Diceros bicornis minor: one gene and its partners. The protein of the gene in region 4 interacts with the protein of the main gene of each other region in a biochemical or structural test. Links are inferred from orthologs where the notes say so. Each region holds a gene or a part of one and is shown on either strand. Other genes may lie near its edges. The genes, in order: HAP1, HIP1, PACSIN1 and HTT.

Evidence for each region.
Region 1: the proteins of HTT (region 4) and HAP1 form a complex in vitro, tested with the Homo sapiens proteins (4 studies listed by BioGRID). The link is inferred for Diceros bicornis minor from reciprocal best matches to the Homo sapiens genes HTT and HAP1.
Region 2: the proteins of HTT (region 4) and HIP1 form a complex in vitro, tested with the Homo sapiens proteins (2 studies listed by BioGRID). The link is inferred for Diceros bicornis minor from reciprocal best matches to the Homo sapiens genes HTT and HIP1.
Region 3: the proteins of HTT (region 4) and PACSIN1 form a complex in vitro, tested with the Homo sapiens proteins (2 studies listed by BioGRID and IntAct). The link is inferred for Diceros bicornis minor from reciprocal best matches to the Homo sapiens genes HTT and PACSIN1.

Annotation. Positions count from the first base shown.
Region 1 is NC_080757.1:41,022,964-41,030,087, forward strand, and holds the start of HAP1 (huntingtin-associated protein 1), read right to left. Parts: upstream 3,004-7,124; coding exon 2,526-3,003; intron 1,481-2,525; coding exon 1,401-1,480; intron 1,070-1,400; coding exon 881-1,069; intron 759-880; coding exon 568-758; intron 360-567; coding exon 254-359; intron 176-253; coding exon 109-175; intron 1-108. UniProt on the Homo sapiens protein: Originally identified as neuronal protein that specifically associates with HTT/huntingtin and the binding is enhanced by an expanded polyglutamine repeat within HTT possibly affecting HAP1 interaction properties.
Region 2 is NC_080765.1:3,064,028-3,070,946, forward strand, and holds the start of HIP1 (huntingtin-interacting protein 1), read right to left. Parts: upstream 3,010-6,919; 5' UTR 2,975-3,009; coding exon 2,855-2,974; intron 1-2,854. UniProt on the Homo sapiens protein: Plays a role in clathrin-mediated endocytosis and trafficking. Involved in regulating AMPA receptor trafficking in the central nervous system in an NMDA-dependent manner. Regulates presynaptic nerve terminal activity.
Region 3 is NC_080753.1:30,148,442-30,156,298, forward strand, and holds the start of PACSIN1 (protein kinase C and casein kinase substrate in neurons protein 1), read right to left. Parts: upstream 3,012-7,857; 5' UTR 2,873-3,011; intron 1-2,872. UniProt on the Homo sapiens protein: Plays a role in the reorganization of the microtubule cytoskeleton via its interaction with MAPT; this decreases microtubule stability and inhibits MAPT-induced microtubule polymerization.
Region 4 is NC_080747.1:2,405,878-2,413,819, reverse strand, and holds the start of HTT (huntingtin), read right to left. Parts: upstream 3,003-7,942; 5' UTR 2,879-3,002; coding exon 2,664-2,878; intron 1-2,663.

The DNA of each region.
Region 1 (7,124 bases), on a different chromosome or scaffold from region 4:
CTAGGAAGTGCCAGAGGTGGGACTGGACTTGAACTCAGGTCTCCAAGACCTGAGTTCTTCCCTCTGCTCCCTGGGACAGCCCCCACCCCAAGTTACAATTTCACGTACAAAACTGCTCCACACAATCCAGAATGAGCATCTGCTCCTCCTCCTCAAGGGCATCGAGCTGAGAGGCCTGGAGGAAGGGAGAGAGGAAGGGGCAGGGGAGTCAACACCCCCTGCCCGCGGGCGCACCCTCCTCCCCCATCCTCACCTCCTCTCTCAGCTGGTCATTCTCCTCCTCCAGCAGCCTCAGCTGCTCCTGCAGGGCTTCCAGCTGTGGGCAGTGGTGCAGCGACTCCGACTCCGTCAGAGGTGTCCTAGGGGAGAGAGCGATGGGAGTCAGAGGGCAGGACTGGGAGCCCCAGGGCCCGGTGCACCCAGGGCTCCCCCACCCGGGCTGAGCATGGTGGTCTCAACCAGCCCCAGCAATCCTGCTGGCAGGGACGCTGTCTGTGTCCCTATTTGCAAACAAGGAAACTGAGGCTCAGAGAAGGGGCCGCTCAGGTGCAAAGGCAGGGCACTCACAGCTCGGGGTCTTCATAAGGAAGATCACTCTGCTGCTCTTCCTCTTCCTCCTCCTCTTCCTCCTCCTCTTCCTCTTCCTCCTCTTCTTCTTCTTCCTCCTCCTCCTCCTCCTCTTCCTCCTCATCATCAGAGTCTGAGTAGAGCTGAAGGAGGTCATCCCGCAAGCTCACCTGGTGTCTGAGGTGTAAAATCTGGCAGGGGGAGAGGAGCCCCAGGTCAGGCCGCGGGCGGGGCAGGCACGGGTCCTGGCAGGAGGGGGATGTAGGTAGGTCTGAGATGGCATACCCCTACCCCCTACTCCCTACCCAGTTACCTCCTCCCTGGCTGAGCCCAGCATGGCTTCCAGCTTGCTGTTCTCCTCCATCAGAACATTGTTCTGCTTCACCAGGGACTGGCCGATGCGAGCTGCCGTATTCAGGTCCCGCTCTCTCTGCAGAGGGACCCCCCCATCCACAGGGAATACTTTCCTGGTTTCTGAGATCTCCCAGACAGGTGGGAGAAGCTAGGGAGTACACAGGCGTCAGAGGGAAGCTAGGCCACTAGGGGGAACCCTCACCATCTCGCAGCTCTCCAGGGTACTAGACAAGAGTCCGCCGTTAACCCACTGTGGGGCCTGACTCAGTTTCCCCTTATGAAAAAAGAACAGATCAGACCAGAGGGCTCTAAGAGCTCTTCCAGCCTGGACATCCCACATCGACCTGCCTTCTGTAAGAGGGGCCCCCAAAGAGGCAGCCAGGCAGGAAACAGACAAGACTCCTACTCCTACAGGACAGAATTAAAACAGGGGCCTGGCGAAAGCTCAGGCTGGTCCAGGTAGGCCAGGCAGTACAGACCTCCTCGAGCAGATTTAACATCACTTGCACATCTTCTTGGCTGATCTTCTTGCCTGGCGGGGGTCGGTCAGGACACAGCACTGCAAGAGAAAGCAGGCAGCCAGGTCAGGAGAAAGGGGGCATACACTAACCAGTACCCCACTGTTTCCTGCCCTATCCCCAGTTCTCCCTCAACAGTGAGAGTCAGCAACAGGGGAGGAGAAGACTGAGTTCCCTTCCTGCCCCCAATATCCTCTCCATACCCCTAGTACTCAGCACTCCCTTCCCTGCTCCCAGGGCCAACTGGACTCATTTTTTTTCTGGAGGAGCTGGGTGAGGTAAGGAGATCACAGTCCTCCAGGCTCAGGCGGAACTGCGCTCTCAGGACGCCTGGGTCCGTGGAACCCAGGAGAATGGAGGTGGCTGGCGGAAGTACCACAGACTGACTCATCACCAGCTACCCAGAGGGCAGCTTGGCCAGCTCATCGGAGCCTCACGGATCATAAACACAGACGCAGTCTCCCACCCTGCACCTGTTGCATGTGGGGAGGAGAGGAGTTAGAGACTTCTCCAGCACTGGAATAGGGGCACCTGAGCCTCTAGACCCAATCCAGAGATCTCCCAGAAGAGGATGGGAGGGAAGAGGAGGGGCAGACTCCGCCTGAGGCCCCGCCCAACCCCAGGCTGGGGAAAAGCCGACCTTGACCCCCGCCTCCAATAGGCTGGCAACCCCCCCCCTCCTCCCACACACCTCCCCATCGCGGGCGCGGTGGGCCAGCGCAGGCTCAGAGCGCGCCGGGCAGCGCCCTCCCGCAGCCCCCCGCCCCGCTCCTGGCACTGCGGTAGACTGAGGAGGGGGGCCCTGAGAGTGCTCAGATCTACCGCAGCAACAGGCGCGCAGAGCGGGCCGAGGGAGCGCGCGGGCCCGGGCACCTGACCCACCCACAGAAATCAGGGAGCGAGAGAAGGGAAGAGGAGATGGGGAAGAGGCGACCGGACTGGCACCGCAGACAGTGACACGGCGAGGGCGGGTGGAGGGGTGGGACTGAGTGTCGGGGGAGCGGGGCACCTGGACCCGACGGGGCCCCCTCCTCCCTGGAGCTGCCCTAGTCCCACTCGCTTCGGGGTCCAGAGGACTCGGTTTACCTTCCTCTAGCTCCCGAATAAAGGCGGCACGCTCGGGGCCCGACACCCCCGGCCGCCGGCCAATGTAGGCAGCTGGCGTCTTCCAGATGTCCGCCGCCTTTCCAGTGCCCAGGCCAGTGGCCCGGGGACCAAAGGGCCCTTGAAATATGAAGTGGGTCCATGGCACATCCGAGTCGCCGGGCACGGACTGGGCATTCCCCTGGACGGCCGAGAATGCAGATGCGCGCTGGGATCCTGCCTCCGATCCAGCCTCGGAGGCCAAGCGAACTCCGGCTGGGGGTCCCGAGACGGATGGGGATCCAGATCCTGCTCCTTGTCCAGCCGCCGCTGCGTGCGCAGGAGCGGCTTCAGGCTCGGCGGAGGGCTCAGGAGCGGGACTGGCTGCGGGTGGCAGTGCGGGGGTGGCTGCTGCCGGATCCCCGGGTCCTGGGCCCGGCCGGTCCCCAGCGCAGCTCTGCCCACAGTCTTTCGGGCGCATCTTGCTCCGCAGTCGGCTGCCGCAGCCGGGCCTTTATAACCTGTGCCGGGAGCGCGCGCCCGCCGGGCCTTACCACGCGCGGGAGGGGCGGCCGAGGAGCAACTAGTGGTGCCCGGGACGGGGGGTAGCGCAGGAGGGCAGCTAATGGTGGCAGAGCAGAGGGTAAAAACAAGAGAAGAGCGAGGAGAAGAGGCCAGTGAAGGTTCCAGCTGGTTCCGTGGGCTTGGGTTCCGAGTGTAGGGCTTTTCCTCCCCTCTCCACCTCCGGAGAATGGTTTTGCCCAAAGCCGCTTCTCCGGGATTCGGGTACAGCGACTCGGAGGTCCCTAACTGGGGGCACCCTCTCCCTCTGCTCCCTTGCAGGGGTTTTTGACTGCCTTCTCTGGGTCTGGGCCGGGGTGACCTGTGAGTTAGGACAGTATTGTGTCTTTCCCCTTGGCTGAGGGATCAATCCAAACTCCTGTTCGGTTTCCACGCGCTGCCTGGCCTGGCGCGTCACAAGCTGATCCTCGCGCTCAGCCTGACACCGACCCCCACCCCCACCCCCACCCCCACCCCCGCGCGCTGGAGCCACTGGGCAGTCCCCCCCCCCTTTTTTTTTTTGTGAGGAAGATTGGCCGTGAGCTAACATCCATGCCCATCTTCCTCTACTTTATATGGGATGCTGCCACAACATGGCTTAATGAGCGGTGCGTGGGTCGGCGCCGGGTTCAGGGCCTGCGAACCCCCGGCCGCCAAAGCGGAGCGCGCAAACTTGACCGCTATGCCACGGGGCCGCCCCGACAGCCCCCTTTCTTATTTATTTGTCTTACTGCCTTTCCTCCTGCTTCACCTCCAGCCCTCATTCACTTTGCCCACTTCCTTCCATCCTGGGGAACACGTGTTCTTCCGGCAGACCCCGCTTAGATGTCTCCCTGAGAAGACTCCTCTGACCCCGTCTCCCACGCGCCAGAGCATTCCTTATTCGCTGGCCGGCAGTGGTCGGAGTGTGTTTGTCTCCAAGAGCAGACTGCCACCCTTCACCGCAGGGAGCGTGTCCATCGGAGCGCAGCACAGACCAGATACCTACGAGGGTCGCCGTAAGTCCTGCATGACCTGTGGGCTGGCAGAGGAGTCCAGTAGCCATTTCTGTGCCTTTGGACTGGAGGAACCTACAGGCCAAAAAGAGATGGCTGTGGCTCTGAGTCTTTTAAAGCCTTGGGATCATTCTCGGTCCCCCAGTTTCCTTCTCTTCAATACCCAATCACTCACCAAGTCATGCTTAATTTACCTCCTAAATATTTCTCAAATGTGCCCTTGCCTCTTCAGCCCTTCTGCTGGTGAGGCCTCATCCTCTCTTCTAGATTATTGTGATACTCACCTCTCCCCCCAACCCCACCCACGTGAATCCATCTCTAGTCCATCCCTCTCATACTCCTGTCTGAGCTAAGGAATTCCAGGACCCCTTCTCCACAGCCACCACTCCAAGCCTGAGCCCAGGACAGGCTGTTGCCCAAGGTCTGCACCTAGGACAGAGGGTCCTAGTGCTGACAGCATGCCTTTGGGGCCAGGTGTCCGTGACAGCACAGAACAAGAGACACAACCCAGGAAGGAGAATCAAAGTGCCCCCTCCACCAGCTCTCCTATGGAGAAGCACTTGGAGAAGAATGTTTCCGTCTGTCTGAGCTCGTTAATTCATTTGACAAACGTATATTAAGTGCCTCCTCTCTATACCAGGCACTGTCCTAGACTCGCAGGCCAGAGCAGGAAACAAGAGAACCAGACCCCTACTGTCCTGGAGGTTAGAGCCTAGAAGGGGAAGCAGATAAACAAGGAAACAAGATAATTACAGAGTGTGGTGCGTTCTCTGAGAGAAGCAAACAGGGAGCTACCGTTGAGAAAAATGGAAAGTACCCATCAGACCCGGTGCTCTGGGTGGGAGGGGAGAAATCACTAATGGCATAGGATTTTGCATCTCAGCCCACACCCCCGGTCTTCGGTCTTCGCAGCCCACTCATCCCTGCCCCCCTCAAATGGCAGCCTCTCTCCTCAGGAGCCAGCGTTTCTCATTCCTGATTGGTGAGCGAACCCTGGTACCAATTCGCCTCCCCAGCCCTAAATCCCTCACACCTGCATCAGCCCTGCAGGGATTCACCTCTCTATCAAAGGGGCAGTGCTCACTAGTTACGTGGTTTCTGAAGTCAGGGCTCCAAATGCAGCCCCCTCATGGGCAGGGAAATAAGGAAGTGGCTCCCCTGGGGAACTCAAACTCCTCCCAACCCTTGCCCACCCTGACCCCTGCTCCCTCTTCTGCTCCTCCTCCCATACAGGCTCCAGGGCACTTCTGCCAGGTGGTTAAGGGTGGCTCAGGCCAGAGGCCTTGGATAAACAGATGGGACGTCTAAGATCCACAGCTGCTCTCTATGCTTTTCACATGCTGCCCTTTTTTATGGTTCTAATCTTTAGCAACTTTAATATTTGTTAGCTTCATTTCTTCTTTCATCTCAACTCTTCTCGGCCCCCTAAATTATCTTCCAATAATTATTCATTCAACAAACAGTTATTAAGCACCTGGTGCCAGGCATTGTGGCAGGTGCTGGGAACACATCAGTGAGCAAAACAAAGATCTTTGGCCTCATAGGGCCCACATGCAATGGGAGCTACAAATAATAAACAAAGGAGTAAATCACATAGTGTATTAGATGTGACGAGTGCTGTGGATTAAAAGAAAGCAGGGAGGAGGGCCTGGGGGTGGGGGGTGGGCTGTGGGTTGCAAGTTTAAATATTAGGGGGGTCAGGAAAGATCTCACTGAAGAGTCACTAAGTCCAGAGCTGAGGGAGGGAGGGAGCAAGGGAGGATATTCACCTGGTGAGAAGCAACAGCAAATGCACAGCCTTGCAGCCAGAGGAGGTCAAAATGGCTAAAATGGAACAAGGAGACGGGATTGTGGGTGATGGGGTCAGGAAGGGGGCAGCAGGGCCGATGGACCACCTTACCTGAGTCCGTGGAGGGCTTTTCATCACAGGAGCGACACGATCTGACTTAAGTTTTAGCAGGAAGGCTCTGGCTGTTCGGCTGAGAATAGACAGATGGAGGGGGGGTGTCTTAGTCCCTTCAGACTGCTATAACAAAATACCAACAACAGAAATTTATTTCTCACAGCTCTGGAGGCTGGAAGTCCAAGATCAAGATGCCAGCAGATTGGGTGTCTGGTGAGGACCTGCTTCCTGGTTCATAGACTGTTGTCTTGTCTTCCCCTTGTGTCCTCACGTGGAGGAAGGGGTGAGGGAGCTCTCGGGGGCCTCTTTTATATGGCCACAATTCCCGTTCATGAGGCTCCACCCTCATGACCTAATCACCTCCCCAAGGCCCCACGTCCTAATACCATCACACTGGGGATTAGGATTTCAGCATATGATTTGGGGTGGGGTGGGGGGACACAAACATTTAGTCCATAACAACCTTATAAGTCTTTTTGAAAAATTGGGCCGGCCCCGTGGCTTAGCGGTTAAGTGCGCGCGCTCTGCTACTGGCGGCCCAGGTTCGGATCCCAGGCGCGCGCTGACGCACCACTTGTCCCGCCATGCTGAGGCCGCGTCCCACATACAGCAACTAGAAGGATGTGCAACTATGACATACAGCTATCTACTGGGGCTTTGGGGAGAAAAAGGGAAAAAAAAAAGGAGGAAGATTGGCTATAGATGTTAGCTCAGGGCCAGTCTTCCTCAGCAAAAAGAGGAGGATTGGCATGGATGTTAGCTGAGGGCTGGTCTTCCTCACAAAAAGAAAAAATTATTAAAAAATTAACAACTTTGGGCCGGCCCGGTGGCTTAGCGGTTAAGTGTGCGCCCTCCTCTGCTGGTGGCCTGGGTTCAGATCCCGGGGGCACACCGACGTACCGCTTCTCCGGCCATGCTGAGGCCGCGTCCCACATACAGCAACTAGAAGGATGTGCACCTATGACATACAACTATCTACTGGGGCTTTGGGGGAAAAAATAAATAAATAAAATTATTAAAAAAAAATTAACAACTTTATTGAGATATAATTCACATACCATAAAATTCATGATTTTAAAGTGTCCAGTCAGTGGTTTTTGGTATATTCACAGAGTTGTGCAACCATCACCACTATCTAATTTC
Region 2 (6,919 bases), on a different chromosome or scaffold from region 4:
CCTCAGGTGTGGGGCACACACGCCAGAACCAGACACGTTGCCCTCAGGGGGGGGGGGCGCAGTCCTGGGGTGAGGGCTCCAACCTCCTGGTAATTATCCCGTTACCTAGGGACACTCCTGGCCCTTGACTGGAGTTAGTCAGAGGCTGCACGATTACCCACACCTGTGCCTTCTTAGGTCTCAGCTCCCCAATCACGTTACAGCAATCATCATTGAAATAGTGCTCCACAGTTTACAAAATGCCTTCACGTCTATTATTTAATTCCCACAATAAACCTGCCAGGTGAGTATTATCTTTATTTTACAATAAGGAAACTGAGGCTTAGAAAGGTTAGACAGGGCCGGCCCCTGTGGCTTAGCGGGTAAGTGCATGCGCTCCGCTGCTGGCGGCCCGGGTTGGGCTCCCGGGCCTGCACCGACGCACCGCTTCTCCGGCCATGCTGAGGCCGCGTCCCACATACAGCAACTAGAAGGATGTGCAACTATGACATACAACTATCTACTGGGGCTTTGGGGGAAAAACATAAATAAAATAAAATTATAAAAAAAAAAAAAGGTTAGACAATTTGCCTGAGGCTACTCAGCCTATCCACGTGCCCAGCTGTAAAACTCACCAACCTCTTCCAACTCCAATGCCAGTGCTCTGCCCAACACTCAGAGGCAACACAAGACAGACAGTGGTTAAAGGTTGGGACCACTTCCAGCTGTGTGACCTTGGGCAAGTCACTTAACCTCTCTGTGCCTCTAGTTTCTTAAAGTAAAATGTGGCTGACACCCACCTCATCAGTCCTTGTGGAGATTAAAGAAGGTAAAACAATAAAGTAATTAGAACAGTGCCAAACCTAATAATTAGTTACAATTATCATTCTACCTTGGCTGACTCTCATGGTCTCTTACCTCATTAAAATTTTCTAACTCATTTTTATATCTTATAATACATTTGATAGATAGTCATTAAACTAAATTTTTGCAGGTTGACTAAAGCTAAGTTTCAGGATGGTTCTCTTTTCTTTTTCTTCACTCTTCTACCCTCTAACAGTGTCAACAATAGAAACACTGTCTTTTCCTGATCCAGTTTACCTCCTCACCCCCCCCACACACAAGCCACTAGATCAAATCTGGCCAATTACAAGTGTCCCACAGAAAGCAAAACACTGGAAAACACTGACCTAGACTCTCCTTGTTCAGCTATCCCTGGATAGTGAGGGGATATGCCAGTCATGAGTGGAAACTGTCACAAACCTAATTTCCATCACTACAATGGGTCAAAGCTTTATGTGTATTTCTCTATTGCTCCAGTTTTTACTTATTTGAGACTCTAGAAGGAATGGGTTATAAAATAACACCTATTTATTTTTCTTTTCCATTAAAAAAAGAAGAACATTCACACTGTTTTCTGGAGCAAGAAGCCTCGTGTGACCAGGCAGCTAGTCGAGGCAGTAACACCCGTGGTGGACAGGCAGAAGGAAAGCTTCCTTCTTTTCAGTGGTCCAGGCCACAAAGCCAGAGAATAAGCCTCAAACCCAGCTGGACCCTGGGAGGCAGAAGTGAAAGGCCATCTCTCCCATCCTGCCTGGAGTAGGATGATCCAGGGAGAGAACACTCCCCACTTTACATCACCCAGACACCCTTGTAACCAGATGGGCCACAGGCACCTGGAAAGAAGAGGATGAAGTTCCCTGGGGGTGAAAAGCTTTATCCTCCGTAAGCTCCATATTTAGAACACTCGGGTCCTCACAGTCTTTCCTATCCAAAACCCCAAAGCCCTTCCCTCACGTGGTACTGTGTTTGGGGGAAGAAGGAGAACGCAGCAGGGGAACCAGCGCTGGCAGTGGTGGCCCAGCAGGGTCTCCAAAGGTCCCACTCTGAGAGCGAGAGCAGAGAACGAGCCTGCCCCCATGACCTGGGCACTAGAATTAAGAGAAGTGCTATGCCATTTAAAATGAACTTTGCATACAAAGAGCTGATGAACACCAGAAACATGTCAGCTTTATTCAGTCAAATCAATACACCAGGCATTAAAACTCTGAGGTAAAAATGGATTGTGGCTTTTTGTTGATGACACTGAGGAATTTTGGCCCCCAGCCCTGGCTGGACAAACAGGGCAGTCTGCCTATTAGCCGTCAGGCATATCTTGGGGGATGAAACCAAAACCCCAAGTTGGGGCTCCCGGCACCTCTGGGCAGCCCGTCCTGACCAGTGGCGGACGGTGGGGCCAAGCGCGTCAATTCCTGCCCCTGGCCGGCCCCCTCCTCCAGTCCCCAGTCATTTTCCAAGCTCGTCCACACTTCGCATTCCTACATTCCTTCTCACCGCTCAGACCCCTTTGGCCCGGCCCGGGGAGGCCGACAGCTGGGATGCTGTGTGCCAAGCAAGAGGCACCGGGAAGGCGGTGCTCGGGGTGGGGGGATGCCAGTGCAACCGAGAAGCGATCGCGAGGGGAGAAAAGGGCTCCCCATCCTTCACATCCCCAAACCAGCGCCCCACTCTCCGCCGCCACACTTGCGTCTCCGAGCGGCCCCCCAGTACGCTTCCCCTTCCATTCGGTCCCTTTTCGGTGCCTTCCCCTCTCACCTGCCCTGTGCCGCCGGGACCAGCCACCCTGGGCCGGGCCGCCCGGATCGTGCCGTTCCTCGGGGCCGCCCTGCCCTTTTCCCCAGACCAGCTGGGATGCCCGGGTCCCCGACCTTCCCGGGATCGCCTCGACCTGCGCGCCAGAGGCTCCCTCTCTCGGCCCCCCTGCCCCGTCCTCCCTTGGGCCTGCAAGACCCTTACTCCCTTCAAAGCCCCTCCCGGACGCTGCATCTCTCGGGGTGCCCTAGCCGTGCAAGCCCCGCGGTCCCCCGGTCCTCACCTGAGTCCGCTCGAAGCTCTCCCGTTCGGCCGCCTCCACCCCCGCGCCCGCCCCGCGCCGACTCAGCACCTTGGGCAGGGGGTTGGGCACCTGCTTCATGGAACTGGCCATCCGGTCCATGTCGCCGCGCGGATCCGAGTCGCGGCCCTCGGCCGCCCCGGGATCCCCACGGAGCCGCCCGGCCCGCCCCACCCGCTGGGATCCGGCGCTAACGGGACGGCCCCTGCCTCCCATTGGCTGGGAGCGCCGCTACTCTCCCTAGGCCCCGCCCCTCCCAGAGACGCCCCCGCCCCCGCCCCGCCCCGCCCCGCCCCGCGGCGCGCTCCGCCCGGCTGGGCCCTCGGGACCGCGAGGCGCGCAGCGACCGGCCCGGAGGCCTGTCCATCACCGGTCCGCGGCCCCCTGCGGGGGTGGGGCCTAGGGCTGCCCTGACCTGCCCTCGCCGCCCCTGCCACCGCGCCCGCCCGCGCCCGGCGCTTCCCCGCGAGCCACGCGCTGCTGCTGCCGGGGGCGCTGCGAGGTCCCGGCGCGGTGCGCGAGGGTCACGCTGGCCGCGGAGTCGGGCCTCCCGCGGGGGACCCGGACCCGCCCGGGAATGGCCTGTCTACGCTTTTCGGGTCGGGGACGAGAGAGGGCGGGATGGACCGGCTCGGCGGCCGGAGCCCCGGGAAGCGCTGCGCCCAGGCCCGGCTCCCGTAGGAAGGGCCAGCGTCTGCCCGACCTGGCGCCGTGGGTGGCGGCCCCCTACCCAGCTCACCTGCCTCCTCCCTCAGCCTGACCCTGCGCTGAGTCCCTGTCCATCCGCTTTGTAATCCTCACACACCCGGGAGCGCTGGGCCGGGTCAGTGGGAACCTCCTGGCATCTTCTTTCCAAACCCTACATCATCTTGACCCGGCCAGAACGTGTTCGTTGGTGGAAACCCCTGTGGATACTTTGTTTATCCACGGCTCCGGGCTACCCCTCCCATCCTGCTCAGATGTCAGCTGGAGGGAAGTGTGATCCCTAGCGGAGATGCTGAAGAAAGTTAGACGTTTTCCATTAAATTTTCATGTTAAAAAAATGCTTTGAAACTCAAAGAAAGGCATTAAAAATATTTAAACTAAGAGCTTTTTATAAAAGTTCACACATTCAACACAGAAGTGAAAGAGGGGGCGGGCCTTTGCAGGCGCTACGGAGCTACTGCAGGCTTTTGCACAGACCTGCGCTTTGCCGGGCTGGCATTGTGTGGACGGCATTGCGGGGCGAAAGGGCAGGGAGGGACTCTTCGGGGAGACTCCAGCAGTACGTGAGAGACCGAGAGGGCCTACCCCGGAATGGAGAGGAGAAAGTTTCCTCCTGTGGGCGGTTCTGTGAGGAGGCCCAGACAAAGGGAAATAGGCGGAGGGAGGAGGCAGCGGTGGGGCCGGAACTTCTGGAGAGGAAGGATTGAAGGGTGGCAATGTGATGGAGGGGAAATTGCCTTGAGACTTCATTTGCATAGCAAGCACACTGGTTTCACCATTACTGGAACTGAGGGCCGCGTTTCGGGGTGTTTAGGGGCTGTGATGTTGTATGAGTCGGAGCAGCAGCGGGGGAGGGATTGCACCCTGGAAGGGCTAATTGAATTGAGAAAGGAACTATGTGCAAAATTGTAACCTGGAATAAGGGGATCAGCCAGGGAGGGTGAAGCACCCGGGGATAGAACAGTGGGAAGCTGTTACCAGCCCTAGCCCTGAAGGGACACGGGGAGGGCGCTTACCGGAACCAGGTGCGAGCTCTAGTCTTGGGAGAGGAGGCACCCGACAAGAGCCGTGGCTTTAGGTAGAAACCCAGTCACTGGAAGAGCCCAATCTCTCTCTATCCCTCCCGTCCTCTGATTTCCTACTAGTGCCTCCCATTGGCCGAACCCAGGGGGAAGGAGGGCAAGGACGATCCGTTAGTACTACCCCCACCCCTCCTTCCAGGCACAGAGCCGAGTGGAGGCTGGATCTGGAGCAGCCCTTGGAAGTTCCCAGCCCAGGAGCTCACAGGACTATACCTACAGGGAAAACAGACAGGGTTCATCATAATATTACCTCTGTGTGCCCATTCTTAGTCCTGCCCCCACCTCATGCTCTGGACCCAACTAAAGAGTGATTTATGATCCTTTGCCCAGAGTTTATAGCTGCAATAAACAGGGGCCCTTTAAACAGGGATTAAGGGATCAGCCTACTCCTTATTAGAATAAACCCCAGTAGGAATCAGGAATTTGTGGTTTGGAGACACCCTGTGGAGAAAGACTCAAGCTAGTTACCTCTGTGAAACTCAGCAATAAAGAAAAATAAGGATTTCTCACTTGCTGCAGCAGCAAAACCCTTTGCCAAGGGTTGAGAGAAACCCTCCTCCAGGATGTAAACTACAGGACTCTGCTAGCTTCTTTCAGCTCTTACATCTCTCCCAGCAATTTAGGGACCATTTGTCTTATGCCTTCTCAGGATGCCCGGTTTTCAGACGTGGAATCCTGATCTCTGGGAAACCCACAGAGACAGACCCACAGATATATAGTCAAGTGATTTTCCACAAAGGTGCAGGCAATGCAATGGAAGAAAGATAATCTTTTCAGCAAATGGTGCTAGAACAATTGGATATTCATGTGCCAAAAAAAAAAAAGAACCTCAATCTTTTCCTCACACCATATACAAAAACTAACTGAAAATGGATCATAGACCAAAGTGTAAAAACTAATACTATAAAACTTATAAGAGAAAATCTTAGTGACCTTGGGTTTGGGAAAGGTTTCTCAAATACAACACCCAAAGCATGAAGTATAAAAGAGGGAAAAATCAATAAATAGGACTTCTCTTTGCTCTTCGAAAGAATGCTATGAAAATGAAAAGGAAGGCACAGACTGGGAAAGATATTTCCAAAACATTCATCCAAAAAAGGACTTGTATTTAGATTATGCCAGGTATACATTTTTTAAAATTATTCTATTGAGGTCATATTGGTTTATAACATTGTGTAATTTCAGGTGTACATTATTATATATCAGTCTCTGTATAGACTGCATCGTGCTCACCACCAAGAGTCTAGTTTTTATCTGTCACCATACATGTGTGCCCCTTTACCCCTTTTGCCCACCACCCTACCCTCTTCCCCTCTGGTAACCACTAATCTGTTCTCTTTATCCATGTGTTTATCTTCCACATATGATTGAAATCATATGGTATTTGTCTTTCTCTGCCTGGCTTATTTCACTTAACATAATACCCTCATGGTCCATCCATGTTGTTGCAAATGAGACCGTTTGGTCTTTTTTTATGGCTGAGTAGTATTCCATTGTATATATATACCACATCTTCTGTATCCATTTAACAGTTGATAGGCACTTGGGTTGCTTCCACATCTTGGCTGTTGTGAATAACACTGCAATGAACATAGAGCTGCATGGATCTCTTTGTATTGTTGATTTCATGTTCTTTGAATAAATACCCAGTAGTGGGATACCTGGATCATATGGTATTTCTATTTTTAACTTTTTGAGAAATCTCCATACTGTTTTCCATAGTGGCAGCACCAGTTTGCATTCCCACCAGCAGTGTATGAGGGTTCTCTTTTCTCCACACCCTCTCCAATGTTTGTTATTTCTTGTCTTGTTAGTTATAGCCATTCTGTTGGGTATGAGGTGTTATCTCATTGTAGTTTTGATTTGCATTTCCCTAATAATTAGTGATGTTGAACATCTTTTCACGTGCCTATTGGCCATCTGTGTATCTTCTTTGGAAAAATGTCTGTTCATATCCTCTGCCCGTTTTTTGATCAGGTTGTTTTGTTGTTGTTGTAGTTGAGTTGTATGAGTTCTTTATATATTTTGGAAATTAACCCCTTGTCGGATATATGATTTGTAAATATTTTCTCCCAGTTGGTGGGTTGTCTTTTCATTTTGTTCATGGTTTCCTTTGTCTTGCAGAAGCTTTTTAGTCTGATGTAGTCCTATTTGTTTATTTTTTCCTTTGTTTCCCTTGCCTGAGTAGATGTGGTTTCAAAAATATGCTGCTGAGACCAATGTCAAAGAGTATACTGCCTACATTTTCTTCTAGAAGTTT
Region 3 (7,857 bases), on a different chromosome or scaffold from region 4:
ACCCCTGAGGGTGAAAAGGAACGTGTAGGGAAGAGGGGGGAGAGTGTTCTAGGCAGGCGAACAGCCTATGCAAAGGCCTGCAGGTGTCAGAAGCATAACTTATTGGAGGAACTGAAAGCAGTTCAGAGCAGCTGGAGGGCAGAGGGCGGGTGAGAAGGGAGAGGAAGCCCAGGCTTGGGGACAGCGGCAGGGACACTTTAGGGAGACTGCACTTTGTCCTCAGGGCAAGGGGGAGCCATTGAAGGATGCAGAGCAGGAGAGTGACAGACTCAGATGTGCATCTTATAAAGACCACTCTCCTGCTCAAGGATACCCATTGATATGGGTGTTATTATTCTGAGCATCCACAACGGTCACAGTCACACTTAATCACGCACATACTACCGGTCACAGTCACACTTAATCACGCACATACTACCGTGCAGGAACTTTAGCACAGAGTACCTGAAGCCTCAATCTCCACGGAGACAGCAAGCCCCCAGCAGCTAGGTCGATAGCCCTCTTGCTCTTGCGATAGGGAATACAGGTTAAGAACATGGACTCTGGAGCCTGGGTTCAAATCCTAGCCCCTCCGCTTCCAAACTGTGTGACCTTGGATAGATAACCTCTCTGTGCCTCGGACTCCTCATTTATAAAGTGGGTGCAATAACAGTACATACCTCACTGGGCTACTGTGAGGACTGAATGAGTTAATACATGAAAAATAGTGGGAACAGGAGCTGGCACATGACAACTGCTGCGGACTGTTAGCTTGTACTGTCAGGACTGCTCCCTGCCCTCAAGGCCCCCAGGGCCAACTACCTGCAGGCACTAACTAAAGCCTCCCCCACCCGCCTCCCTCCACCCCTGAGGCACCTCTCCCTTATCCCTGAGTCTCTCCAGCACTAGGGGCGAGGCCAGAGCCAGAGAGGAGGGACCGCTGGGTTCTAGGACAACCAGGCACTCTGACCTGGGTCTGTGGCCCAGCCGTAGCACCCTCGAGCTGGACCTGGAGCGCTGGACCTGGAGCCAGGAACTGAGTGCCGCCCTGGCTCTCTGTAAGACGAGGACAAGAGCATCTTGCAGATGTCCTATCAGCTCGGGCTGGGAGAGAGCTCTGCAAATGTCCACATCTGGCACAGACCCAGGACCTGCGGTGGCAGCCTCTTCTGGCCTGGGTTTGCACCTCCACACGGAGTCATGTGATTTGCTCAGAACTCGCTATGAGGACCCAGAGGCTGAGCATGCCCTGGCTCAGGCCTTCCCAGACTCCCTGAGGCTGACCTGCACTTCCCCAAGGTCTGCACAGAGACAGAGACCCCTGATCTGAGCTGAGCCAGGGAGAAAGCGCCAACCCAGAGGCCTGAGGAAAGCCACAGCTTCACCTGGGGCCTTCCGCCAAGCCTGGACCAGGCCAGGGCACTCAGACCAGGGGCCCAAAAAGACGGTGTGGAGCCATCGGGACTGCGGCGTTTACCTCCAAATGCCACAGGTGCCCGTGAGTTCCAGGTCCAGGAAGGGCCTAAATGGGACTGTTTTTGGTGGCTCTTTGGTCTTGGGGTGCGGAAGAAAAGCCCAAGAGGGGGCTCAGCCCCATCCTTCAGGTTGCCAGCTATTTCCCACAGTTCAAGTTCATTCATTCACTCATTCCGCAAACATTTACTTGGTGCCAGACCCTGGTCAGGTGCAGGGTCAATGGCAGAGATGAATCAGACAGATTCCTACCCTGAAGGCACTTCAGGTCTAGAGGGCGACAGACAAGACATAAATAACCAAACCACAGGCAGACTAGGTGGGAGAAGGCAGGGCAGGAGGCAAGGATCTCACCTGGGCTATCAGGGAAGCTGCCTGGAGGGGGTGGCTTGTGAGTGATGATTTGGACCAGTGATGTGATGGGAAGGCCAAGCAGGTAAGGGACAGAACCTCCCAAATCATTGACAGACAGTTCTGTTTGCACCCCGCTGTGCCAGAGCCAGGGCAATGTGGGTTATTTATGGTTGTGCCCAGAGAAAAGCGGCCACATGTGTCACTGCACGTGGGGTGCAGAGCAGGGTGGGGGGTGGGAGGAGCTGGGGCTTGAAGCTGAGTCTGGCCAAGCCCTGGGGTTTGCCACTGTGTCGCTCACACCCTGATGACCTTTTAAGCTTTTCACCGCCTCCTGCAAGGGAGAAATAAGGGAGAGAGATAGCTCCAACAGGCAGCGAGGGGCCTGGGGGGTAGAGAGGAGGGCAATGCCAGACAGACCACGGCTTCTGCTGTGTCTGGGGGCCGCGTAGCGTCACCTCCTTCTCCTCTCACCGCTCCCATCCCAGCTGTGGGGGAAGGGGTAGAGGAACAGAAGAAATATCTTTAATTGTAAACCAGACAGGGGACAGAGCGCATCAGCTGCTGGGTTTCTCCCCAGCCCACTCTGATCCATAAATAGCCTACGCACCAAGCTGGCGCCAGCCCACCCGCCCTGCTGCTACCGGAACACCCCAGGCCAGAGACTCGGACCCCCAGGTCCTGGGTCCCAGCTTCCCAAGGAACCTATTTCCTGCGTTTTCCCCAGGGTAAAAGCCTCCGCCGCCAGCTCCCTCTCCCAAGGGCCCAGAGCAGGGGCATCCTGGCACAGCCCGGGTGATGCCCGAGAACCCCGGCGCTTGCAAAGCACCTCGGGCCTGGGTTTGCACCTCCACACGAAGGAGTCATGAGATTTGCTCAGAACTCGCTATGAGGACCCAGAGGCTGAGCATGCCCTGGCGCGCTCACCTCTCTCCAGGTAACTGTCCAATCTCCCCCACAACCCCGACGCTCCGGCAGGGAAGATGTCAGCCTCTGCGCCCACCGCGAACACGCACTCCCTAACTGGACCCCTTCCTCCCCGCCTTCTATCCAGGGCCAGACCCCCTACCTGGGGGCAGGAGCGCCCGGCACCATCGGCGGCGCCACGGGGCAAAGCGGGGCGTCTGGGGCCCGGCCTCAAGCCCGGACGACTTCCCGCGGGCAGAGGAGGCTGTGCAGCGGCCGCCGCCACCGCGTCTCTCCGGCTCGCGCCGGGGCTGCGGGAAGGAGGAAGGTCAGAGCCGGGGAGGAGGGGGAGAGGAGGAGGAAGGAGGCGTGCACAGATGCGCGCAGATTAGAGAGGCATTTTTAGCCAGCCAATGGCAGCGGGCGCAGGGAGGCGCGTGTCTGCGCAGGTGGACGCGCCGCGGCGGCTGAGGAGGCAGCAACCCGCTTGGCAGGCGCCGGGCGGGGGTGCGGGGCGGAGGGGGCGCTCCCCCAGCTCCCAGGCCCGCGCCCTCCTCTGGGAGGTGCTCCCGGAGGGCAGAGGGGCTCTGCGGCGGGCGGGTGCAGAATCACCTGCCCTGCGCCCTCCTCCCCAGCCCTCCTGCAGCGCGCTGTGGACCCGGGGGTGCCGCTCCCCTCCCCTCTCTGCCCTCTCGCCGCCTTCTTGGACATTCCTCCGGCCTTGTCTGTCCGTCAGTCGCTTTCTGGCCTCTCCTAATCCTGCATCTTCGGGTCCGTGCGGTTGCGTGTGTGTGGGCGTGCTCTGGAGTGACGGTCCCTCTCCACCACTACCACCCCCCGCCTAGCCCCCCCCATTAGCTTCGTCCAGAAGTGCCCGATTGACCCCATGGGGGCATTCACTAACCCTCCTGCCCTAGTTCCAGCTGGACCTGCTGTCACCAAGACAGACTCCAGGCCATCTCCTTGAGGCTCTCTGGGGGGCTTGTTGTGACTCCCCACGGCCTTCACTCTTCCCGCCTTGAACCCTGAGCGCTTCTGGGAGCCTGTACCCTGCAGGGGGGAGTAGGCCAGTCTCTTCACTGCAGAAACCTGCCAGGAGCTGATGATTTGTTCAACACTCGTCTGTTGAGGGCCTACTATGTGCCGGCACTGGGGAGGGGCTGGGCTACAGCAGAGTACAAAACAGACCAAGTCTCTGCCCTCACCTAGTTCACGTTGGTGAGAGAACGCAGATGTTAAATATAATAAATAACATAGAGAGGATATTTTAAAGTGGTCTGCACAGAGTGGGAAAATAAAGGTAGAAAAAAGACAAGAAAGTGAGGGTGGTCAGGGCGAGATTAGGTCCCAGCTATTTGTGGGGAGTGAGGGTGGCTGAATTTGATGGTAAGCCCCTCAGGTAGATGTGCAGACTAGCCGGCCACAGACCTCACCACTCCCTATTGTTGGCACCTAGGCTGGTCACACGTTTATATTTCCTGCCCTCCCTCTCCCTCCTCCCTCACCGGAGGCACTGAAATTCATGGTCCCAGTGACCCAAGAGAATGCCCAAGTGCAGCATTTATTCACTCAATAAGCATTTGCCGAACACTGACTGCATACTAGGTGTTAGAGCCCAGAGGAACTCGACACCTAGTTGGGGAGGCCAGATGACAGTATCTACCCCAAGGATGAACAGGACAGCCAAGCGAGTGGTCAGTGTTCCAGAGAAGGTCAGAGGGCTCTGGGTTAGGGTCATCCGGGAAGGCTTCCTGGAGGAGGCATCATTCTGATGGGGATGCTGAACAATAGCTGGGGTTCTTTTTTTTTTTTTAATTTTTTTTTCAATTTTATTTATTTATTTTTTCCCCCAAAGCCCCAGTAGATAGTTGTATGTCATAGCTGCACATCCTTCTAGTTGCTGTACGTGGGACGCAGCCCCAGCACGGCCGGAAAAGCGGTGCGTTGGTGCGCGCCCGGGATCTGAACCCGGGCCGCCAGCAGCGGAGTGCGTGCACTCAACCGTCAAGCAACAGGGCCGGCCCTAGCTGGGGTTCTGATGAGCCAGATGGGGCAGGAGGCAGGGAAGGATTACTGGGAGAGGCCAGCAAAGCCAGGGGACGTTTGGCAGGTGGCTGGGACTGGGGTCCTGGAGCATTTCTGGACACCCTCCATGTAAGGGGCATGCTGGTGTCGAGCTGTCGAATTGGTGTCCCCCTCTTTCCCCACCCCGGAAGTTGCTGGTGCCAGCTGCCCTCACCTCAACCTGGAATTTCGCATTGCCCCAGGAGGAGAAGTGATGGGCATACGGGAGGAAAAACATCGACTTCACGCAGTTGCTTGTTTGCTGGGTAAAAGTGGGTATGTTACTTACCCCCTCTGAGGTTCAGCCTCCTTATCTTAATAATTGTGTGACAAGTTCCTTAATCGATCTGTGCATTTGGAAAATGGAATGGCAACAGCACGTACCTCACAGGCTGTGTGAGTGTTACACAAGACAACCCAGGTGAACTGCTTAGCACATAAGTACCCAGTTCATTTTGTTGTATTTATTGTATTTATGGTGATAATTACGCTTGCCTCCTAGGGTTCTTGGAATCAGACAAAGGATGCAAGGCCCCTAGCATGGTGCCTGGAACCTAATAGGTGTGCAGTAAATAGTATCTATTATTCTCATTAACTACATGCACCCCCAATCTCTCCCCTTTTGGTCTACCACAGCGCTGTGAAATTCCCATTAGACAGAATTTTCTTAATGTGAAGAGGCTAATTCCCCAAGAGGCTCTTAAAGTGCAATCTAGGATGGATAGACTAAAATATCTGCACCACCCCCCGCCGCAGTACATTAGCCTGGCTCAATGTGTCATCAGGGGCTGTGATGTAGATGGATTGGAGCCCGGGACTGGTAAATTTTGGAAAGGCAGTGAAGTCCAGATCACAAGACAATGACTGACATAGGACACTAGGTGTCCCTTGGCAGCCAGGCCTTGGTGGAGGATGGCAAGAGTGGGAAGGGTACAGGCGTACAGGGGATGGGCTCATAATGCGGAGGGCTAAGAGAGGCTGGAGGGTCACAGAAGCTGGGACCGCTTGGGGCAGCTGTGGGGAGGGCAGGAGAGGGGCAGACCCGTTGAGGCAGATGATGGTGAGGGGGCAGGGTGGTGGGGAGAGGGGGTGAGGGAGCAGAAAGCTGGACTTACTCCATTCGAAGCTGAGGTATGCCTGGCATTGAATTAAGGCCTTACCAGACCCAAGCCCTGAAAAAAAAAGAGAGTGGAAAATACACACACACGCAAACACATCCCCCCTCACATCCCTGCCCATGTGTAATCCAAAAAATATGTCATATGTTATTATGGAAATTGACACAGAACTTCCATGCTTCCTAAAACTAAACTAGCTTCCATCTAGATTTTCTGATTTCAAAACTTATGTCTATCAAAGCTAAATACCCCCCTTATTGTTTTGTGCCCCGTCCAGACAATAAGACTTTCTCCCATTTGCCCAGCACTTTTCACATCTCTTATCTCCAACAACTCGCTTTTCTCAGTACCATTAAGTTCTGACCCATCTGGGATTCCACGGCACCTTCCTTCCCACCGAGAGTCCCAAGCCATCCTTCGATCGGAAGCCTCCTCTGCTGGACTCTCCGTGTCACGCAGAGCAAGGAGGCAGACACAGCCCTCCCCTTCTGTCCTATGCAGACAGGACAGAAAGGACATGTAGACAGGAGGACAGCCCAGCCCTGAAGGAGCACGTGGAATCAATCAATCAATGATCAAATAGCGGATTGGTGATTAATATCTCATGTTTAGCCTGGAAGAGGTGGAGGGAGGAAGGGAAGCTTTGGATTCCCTTTTGTTCCATCTGATATGGAAGGCTTCAAGGAGGAGGTGAGGTTTTGAGGCTTCTCTATTCTCACCACATCTCTGGTTGGAAAGGAAGGGCAGGGAGTGTGTCCTGATTTGGGCAAAGCAGGACTCTGAAGCCCAGAGAGGAAAAGTGACTCGTTCAAGGTCACACAGTGCGTTGGTGACAGAGCTGGGCTAAAAACGGATCTCCTGACTTCTGGTCAGGTGCTGTGGTCACTAGACTCCTCTACTTCCCCCGCAAACCTGCCCCGAGGTGGGGAAGGATGAGCAGGGAAGCGATTGGCCCAGGGGCCCCATGGCATTTTGTTTTCTGAGCTGCCCCCCAGCAGCATGCACAGAGGTGAGTAGGACACCCCCAAGAGACAAAGGTACTTTAAAAACAGCCTCGCAGCCCCTTCTGCTCTCTCCTCTTCCCACCTGCTGGCGTCACACTTGCAAACTGGTCTCCGTCGCCTGCCTAGTGGACAGAGGCTGTTGCCAGCTGTGCCCTGAATCCAGAGACCTGGGTGCTCCGAGTCTGGGAATTGTGGCTTTCTCTGTCCGTGACTCATGCCAAGGGGGTTAAAAACACCCTGAGGACATATCATCCTGACAAGGCCCTCAATCTTGGGAGGTGCTGAGTTAGGACCCAGACTATGCTCAAAAGACGGGTCACCCCAGGACATACACAGACAATGGCAAACCCAGAGCACTTTTCTTGGACCAGGCACTTTCTAAGCACTTTACACATATAAGCTATGGGGCTAGGTACGACTACTAGTCCTGTTTAAGACAGGGAAACTAAGGCCCAGAGAGGTTAGGTAACTTGCCCAAGGTCACACAGCTGGTAAGTAGTGGAGCTGGGATTCAAAACCAAGCAGTCTGGGTCTGAAAGGCATGCTCTTGATCACTCAGCTAGGAAAGAAGCACGTGTTTACTGAGAGTCGTACTGTGCACAGGAGGATTTTACATGATCTCATTTAGTACCATTACCCCCATTTTACAGATGAGGAAACTGAGGCTCAGTGGGTCCTTTGGTGACGCCTCTCAAAGTACAAAAAGGGAGGACATTTGAGGTTGTCCTTAGAGTGTCTGCTCTGGAAAGGCCTCAGTGGCCTGGACACCATTGCCACCTAGTGGCGCTGTACCTTAAATGCAGGCAGAACATCTGAGACAATGGCGAGGGTCGAGTTCAACATCCCACAGAGATTTTGTGTTTTGGTTTGGTTTTTAATTCCTGTGTCTTGAGCAATAGAGAAGTGTGGTTCACTAATAATAATCTTTCATACTGAAGACATGGTCGTGGGCAGAGTTCACC
Region 4 (7,942 bases):
GCTGTTCCTCCTTCATTTACCACCATCTAACATACTGGTATCTATCTTGTTTGTTGTCTATGTCCCTCACTAAAATGAAAGCTTCACGAGGGCAGAGCCTGCACATATTAGATGTTCAACAAATATTTACTGACGAGTGAATAACTAAAGTCAGGGGAAAACTAGGTCGGAATCTGAAGGAGAATGAGAAAGTGCCAAAGACAAATGTCAACTGACTCATAATCACAGTTAGGACCCTCCCAAGCTCTGGCACTCCCCTGCATGCCAGTCCCACCAGAAGCCCTGCACTCTATATGCTGAGCCGAGAGCAGGCACTCAGATACTTCAGCTGAAGCCCACACATGGCTATAACACTACACTTTCACACAACAGAGAGCAAGAGCCATAAAAATAGAACAGATACTATCTAAATTGCTTTTGGCCAATCTTACTTTGGGGAACGGATTTTTCAGCTGAAGCATCTGAACAGAAATGCCAAGATCCAAACATGTAAGCAGTGAGTTTGTTACTCAAAATTAATGAATATCTATTTTCTCAACAGCAAAGTACATAAAAATATATTTGTGTATTTTATTTAAAGTCACTATAATTAAGCCTAATGCAGTTTATTTCAGAGCATGCTAAGAACTTTTAAAAGTTACTATTCTGAAATACTTTTGTTTTTAAATAATTTAAAATCTATCTTCACTTATGCACAGATTATATCCAGAAGGAGACAAAAGGGGGAAGTATAACAGTGCTTGCCTCTGGGAACAGAGTTAGGTACTCAGGAGAAAGGAGTGGGGGAGAGAGATTTTAATTATTACCTTTTTGTAATTTTGGAATTTGTATCATGTTAATGTATTACTTATGCAAAAATAATAGATTAAATTTTTAAAATAAGTCCATCATACATTACCATAAACTAAAGTAAAGAAACAAAATCAATCTACTTTGTCAAGCTGGCTTTAGAAAGAAACTTCTTTATACCCATATTTTGAAGATGAGCAAATTCAGGTTCTCTCAAATCAGCATAAGAAACAGAAGGCATATTTTTAGATTGACCAAGTGTTTGAACAAGCCACCAGTGACAACAGTTAGCTCTTCCTTCCCACAGAGCCCTGCTTAGTGCTTCCCCGTGTAATCTACACAAAATCCATGCAATGTGTGAACTTCCATGACATCCACCTCCTGCAGACGCAGTACAATAAAAGTCTGGAATGGGTTATGATTATAAATTACCTGCTGTAAAGATAAGTCCAATTCCTAAAAAAAAAAAAACCTCTACGTATCCAAACAGGTTTTTCCTCTTACAAGAAAAATTAATTTATTTCTGAATTTTACTCCAACAGATAAGCCAACATTACTCCTCAAATTCTCATTTTTTAATTAAACTCTCAGGACACAGCAAAGATCGTATCAGAAACACAAAGAACAAGAAAACATTACTAAAAATGAATCAGTTTTAATAGAGTGAGTTTCTTAAAGGGGTTGCTTCTTGAAAACTATCCTCATTAAATGCCATCTTGTACATCCCCAGATCAGAAATAAAATGCCCTGAGATGAGAGAAAGGCCTAATCTCTGCTGAACACTCAGCACACCAAGACTTCAGGGAAAAGTACTTGGGTCCTGTTAGAAGGTGCTATTCATGGTTTCTTCTGTTTCAAAAATTCTCCCAGGCACAAGCCACAGAGACCCCTAGCTTCCAAACAATGCCAGAATGTCAGCAACGAAGGAAACAGACGTCCCCGGGGTCTGCAGACACCCACGTTCCAGCAAGCTGGACTACAGTACTGCACTGGTGAAATGCACATCCTTCACCCTCCAGCAATTAACCTCCCCCTCAGCCATGGGTCGTTTTTATTTCCAACTGAAAATAGGCAAAAAACTTCAGTCAACTCTTCCTAATATCTAAGTCAATTTTATTATTTCTCACTTGTTAATAATAACCGTCTAAGTAGCTCACCACTTATGCACTTGGCAACCACAACTCATTCAAGTGCTCGCATACCAGCTTGAGCTTAGACAAGCGGGTCTCTTCCCGATGCTTAAAATCCTGTTGCTACCACTGGCATTCCCGAACTAAATGAAATGTCTTGCGAATGTCACAGGCTGTTTAAAGGGCCCCTGGAAAAAGAATCTCCATTGGGCCGCGTCCGCACGCCCCCGCCCTCCCAGCCCCACGTCCTAAAGCCATGATGTCATGCACTATCCCCACATCACTCCAGCTCCAATTCCTGGCTCCTCGCGAAGCGTCCTGCGCCCCCAGCCCTCCTCCCTCTCAACTAAGAGAGGGAAAGGAAGAGGCCCAGAGGAAGCCAAACGAGACGCGCTCTCGGCTCTTCCAACTTCTGCTCACAACACAGCCCCAGTTTCTTGCAAACATAAAGCAGCATGTTCCTTCCCCAACTTCGCCTGCCGGGGAAGGCAGAGGACAGGGGCCGAGACCGCCTCGGTGGCGTCAGGAGGGCCAGCGAGGCAGTGCCTGCCCGAGAAGGAACGAGACCCGCGAGGCGCCGGGGAGGGACACGGGACCGGCTCTCGCAGCGGGAGGGGCGTGCCCAGCGTGTGCCCTCCCTGCGCTCGGGGCCGCGGGGTGGCCGTGTCGCCGCGGGGCCGGGTCTGCAGGGCCGCCGCTGTCCCCGGCGGTCGCCGGGTGGGGAGTGCAGGGGCCCGCACTCACGGTCGGTGCAGCGGCTCCTCGGCCGCGGCTGGGACGGGCGGCGGCAGCGGCGGCGGCTGCGGCTGAGGCGGCGGCGGCTGAGGCGGCGGCGGCTGCGCCTGCGGCGGCGGCTGAGGGGGCTGAGGCGGCGGGGTATGCTGCTGCTGCTGCTGCTGCTGCTGCTGGAAGGACTTGAGGGACTCGAAGGCCTTCATCAACTTCTCCAGGGTTGCCATGGCGGCCTCCCGCCCCACGGGGACAGCCTCCGGAGCCCACGGGCCCGCTGACGGCGCCGCTCAGCAGCGCGGCAATGAATGAGACCCAGGGCCGCAAGCAGGGGAGGAACCCAAGCGCTCGGCCATCTTGGACCCGTCCCGGCAGCACCCGCTGTCGTGCGTCCCGCGACGACTCGCCGGCGGGGCGGGGCCAGGCCGGACCGGCGGGATTGACAGCCAGAGGCGGCAGCCTCCACCAATGGCCGGACGCGGCGCCGGCCCGCCTCCCGAAGCCGCCGCGGACGCTGAAATCACAGCGTTCCTCCCTGGCGAGAGCACGGCGCGCGGCGGGGCCCGGCGGCGGGGGCGGGGCCCTGCTGTGAGGGGCGGGGCGGGGCGGAGCCCGGCGGTGGGGGCGGGGCGGAGCCCGGTGGTGGGGGAGGGGCCCGGCGGTGAGGGGCGGCGCCCTGCTGTGAGGGGCGGGGCACGGCGGTGGGGGCGGGGCACGGCGGTAAGGGGAGGGGCGGAGCCCGGCGGTGGGGGCGGGGCGCGGCGGTAAGGGGCGGGGCGGGGGGGGGCCCTGTGAGGGGCGGGGCCCGGCGGTGGGGGCGGGGCCCGGCGGTGAGCGGCTGGGAAGCAGACGCTGCTGGGAGGTGGGGGGCCAGGCGGCTTGAGAATGAAGAGGGAGGGAAGCTACAGGCAACAGGCGCGACGCTGAGGGGGTGAGGGTCGAGGCGCGGTGGGGAAGGTGCCCCCTCCTCGGGAAGGAGCACCCCTCGAAAGAAGCGCCCCCCTCGGCAGGAGCCCCGGCCGACGCCCGGGGTCGCAGGGAGGGCCGGCCGTGGGCCTGGAGCCTGGAGACCCCCGCGGGGGGCGCCTGCCCACCCAGTGGCCGGGCCGAGAGAGGGCCTCACCGGGACAGCCCTGCGGGGAGCGGGTCGGGCTCCCCTTGCGAGGAGGAAGGGGGAAGCGAGTGCGCCCTGCACAGAACCAGAGGACCCTACGGTTGGCGGAGACCTGCGGGATTGGTCCTTCGGGGCGGGAGCCCACGTGTAGCCCCCAGAGAGGAGGGGCCGTGGAGGCCGGGGGCCAGCACCTCCCGCAGTCTGCAGCCCGAGGGGGAGGGGAGGAGAGGGGCGGGCGCCGTGCCCGGAGAGGCTGTGGCTGTGCAGTGAGAAGCGGCTTTGACCCCAGAGACGTCCCCCACCAGAATGACTCCCCGACCAAGAGTCTCCCCTGCAAGGGAGAGGACCCCTGATCCACAAAGTTCTGTGGGCATCTCCTGCCTCGGGGGATGGGAGGGCAGGCCGGTAGTGAGAGGGTCCAGTCTCCAGAGCCTCACCACCTGGGGGGAAGTAAGTGAGCAAGCAGAGGGGCACAGAGGATGGTGGGGGCCTCCGGGGCAGCTGTCCCACTTGCAGGGCAGAGAGTGCGTTGGCTTCGGAGAGAGCCGCCTTGGGGAGAGGTGATGCGGGTAGTGATGGACCCTCCAGAGCCTGCTCAGGGCTGCACCCTGTCCTATGCCAGAAGCCACATCTCTGCCTTCTCTCAGAGCCTGTCGGTTGTCCCAAAGCGGTCAGGTAAACGGAAACCCAGCATCCCCACAAGAAGCGTTGTCCCCAGGAGGATGGCAACAGCCCCACTTCAGGGGAAGGACTGCAGAGAAACTTGCCTTCAGCCTTGAGGTCCCAGTGCCCTGTCGTTAATAAAGGCCCTTCTGCCTGGGGCCAGGCCGTGTGCCAGCCCTCGTGCAGGGCAGGCCGCAATGGTGATGGCCAGGCTCCAGGCTGTCGGGTGCTGGGGTCCACAGACTGCTAAGACTGCCCCTCCCGGTTCTCACACCTTGTGTAGTCCCCTCCCCCTGACTGTGGGCTGTCCCTGGTGGCCTGCTTCTAAGTTCTTGCTGATGAGAGGTAAGCAGAAATGATGTGTGTTAGTTCTAAAAGTCTCCTTATAACGGAAGAGAGACACTGTCTTCTTCCTGCTGCCTGGAATGGGGATGTAGAGGTTGGCACTCGAGCAGTCATTTTGGGTCATGAGGATGTAAGCCACATCCTAGGATAATGGAGCTGGAAGGAGCCAGGGCCCAGATGACTGGGGGGAGATGCCATTCCAGCCTGGCCTGTCTGCCTCTGAACTTCTCACAGATGAAAATCTGTGAGAGAGAAATATAATTCTATGTTGTTTAAGCCACTGTTACTTTGGATTATTCTGTTTGTATGCTCCTAAATCAAGTTCTGACCAGTCCAAAGAGGTTATGAATCCTTGAGAATTTATATGACCACAATAGGTCATGGCTGCTTCAGCCATGGCAGGAAGAAAGTCATGGGCCTGGAATAATCCTGATGAGAAGTCTTATAAGAAAGCCTTATAGAAAAGGGACTGTCAAGAAGGCAGATTTTTAAATTCAGAGAAAAGCTTAGCATAATCCAAAACAGAGTAAAGATTTACACAGCTGGGTGGGCAGTTTGGCCTGGTTTCTCCAAAGCCGTAGAAATGGGCACAGTCCCTGAACAGCAAAGACACTTCCAGTAACTTACCCTAGGAAGACAATCATGTGTGTGTGAGGGTGGTCATTCATCACAGCAACATGTAGGACAAAAAATGGGAACAACATAAATGCTGGACGGAAGGAAAGAGATGGCTAAATGAATAATGACATATCCACATGACAGAAAACTGTGCAGTCATTAAAATCCTATTTTGAAGAGCAGTCACGACACGGGAACGGTGGGCAGTGCATTAGAGATGACACTGTGTATACCATGATCCCCCTCTTTTATTTTAAAGAAAGAAAACCACACATATACATAGAAAAGAGACCTGTCACCAGGTCTATAACAGGGACTGTCTCTGGGCAGGGCAATTACAGGGAATTTATATCTTAATCTGTGTGCTTATCTGTCATTTTCAAGTCTTCAGCAATGAACATGTACTATTCAGGGGGAAAAATATTGTAGAAAAGGTTTGGGTGGGGAGCTAAAAATGAAGGCCTAGCAATAGACTTGTGAGTGGTCCTGCTCAGGACGAGAGGGAGATATTTAAAGCAGCCTGATGCCCCCCCACAAACGGGGTACACTCCAGCTAGGGGGCTGGCACTGCCCTGAATCCAAAACCAGGTGGGAGTCCACAGCAGGTGAGGCCCGGGCAGGGGAAAGAAGGGAACGTGAAGCAGAGCCAGGGAACAAGATGAGTGGACAGGCAGCTCCTGAGGGGGATTTGGTGGTCCCCTGCCGGTCATCCCTGAGGGTTCCTCCCAATTTAGAGGGTATTATTGCCACGTATTGTAGTTCTACATAAATACACATATTGCAAAAGATAGTAATTGTTGTTTTGAACAAAGTTTAAATTGACTCCCATATTTACCATTTTTATTACTCTTCATTCTTTCCTACATCTCTGATTTTCCACCTAGGATCATTTTCTTCTGCCTGGAAAACACCCTTTAGAATTTCTTTTTATTGGATCTTCTGTTGCTGAAATCTCTCAGTTTCAGTTTATCTAAAAATGTCTTGGGTGGCACAAGCGGCTAAGTGCGCGCGCTCCACTGCAGCGGCCCAGGGTTCGCCAGTTTGGATCCTGGGCACGCACCGACGCACTGCTTGTCAAGCTGTGCTGTGGCAGTGTCCCATATAAAGTAGAGGAAGATGGGCACGGATGTTAGCCCAGGGCCGGTCTTCTTCAGCAAAACAAGGAGGATTGGCAGGTGTTAGCTCAGGGCCAATCTTCCTTACAAAATAAAATAAAAATGTCTTTATTTTGCCTTCATTCTTACTGGATTTTCAGTTGGGTGTAGAATTCTAGGTTGGCAGATGCTTGCTGTCAGCAGAGTAAAGATCTGGACATCACTGTCCTCCGCTTTTCATTCCTGCGGTTGAGAAGTCACTTGTTGATTTAATGGTTGCTCCTTTGTTTGAAGGCAATGTGTCTTTTTTTTCCTCTGGCTGCTTTTAAGATTTTCCCTTTGTCTTTGGCTGACTGGAGTTCCACTGTGCCATGTCTGGGTGTGTAGAGAGAGACCAATCAGCTTTTCAGAGGATGACCTTGGGGATCCTGTTCAGTGATCTAGCAGCAGGCTGCCCAGCAGGAAGGGCTCAAAGGGCTGGCAGACAGCAGTCCTGGAAGTTCTGGACCACGTTTCCCTGGTGACAGACGTCTGCCATCAGGATGTTCTTTTCACAAGCAGAGCCATTCCACACAGCCTCAAATCTACCATTGCTGCACATTGGCCAGGTGCTACCTGTCCCCTTCCAGTCCCGCTGTAAATGCACAGAGTGACAGGGAGCAAGGTCCCTCTCCTGGGTACTGCCTGTGGTGTGACCAGCTGGGCCTGGAGCTAACACAACTCTCCATGGGGTGATGGGAGCTTGGGAGACAAGTGCTGCTTCTGATGACCCTCTGCCTCTAAGCTTCTCGTTAACTCCAGTTCATGCCTGTACCGTGAGTGGTTCAGGGTTTCCTGGCTTGGTTTAACAGTAGGATTTCTTTTCATTTAATCTGCTTGGAATTAATTGGGTTTTGAATTTGTGGATTGATGGCTTTCATGTTTTGGAAACCTCTCAGTCATTATCTCACAACAGTGCTGCTGTCCCACTCACCCTCTCTCTTCCTAGTGTTCCAGATAAACCTAGATTAGATATTCTCACCATATCCTATCTTCTATTTTCCTTTTTTTTTGCCTCTCAGTGCTTTATTCTGGATTGTTTCATCTGACTTATTTTACTAGTTCTCTTTTTGGCTGATTCAACTGTTGTTAAACTCTTGTTTAACCATTAAGCCCTGAAATTTTGTAGTTTTCACTACAAGAATTTATACTTAACTCTTTCTAAAGTATGCTGTGTCATTTTTTATATTTTGTAGTTCCCTGCCAAAATTATCAGGCTTTACAAGTTTTCTCCCTGAACATAATAAACATAGTTGTTTAAGAGTCCGTTTTTCATATATTTCCATTATCTAGAGTCTCTGAGGATATGTTTCTCATGTCTGAAGTTTCTGCCAATTCTCATTCATATTGCCTCATCTCATGTGCCTGGTTATCTTCAACTGTATACTGGACATTGTATTTGAAAATTATTATAGAAGTAA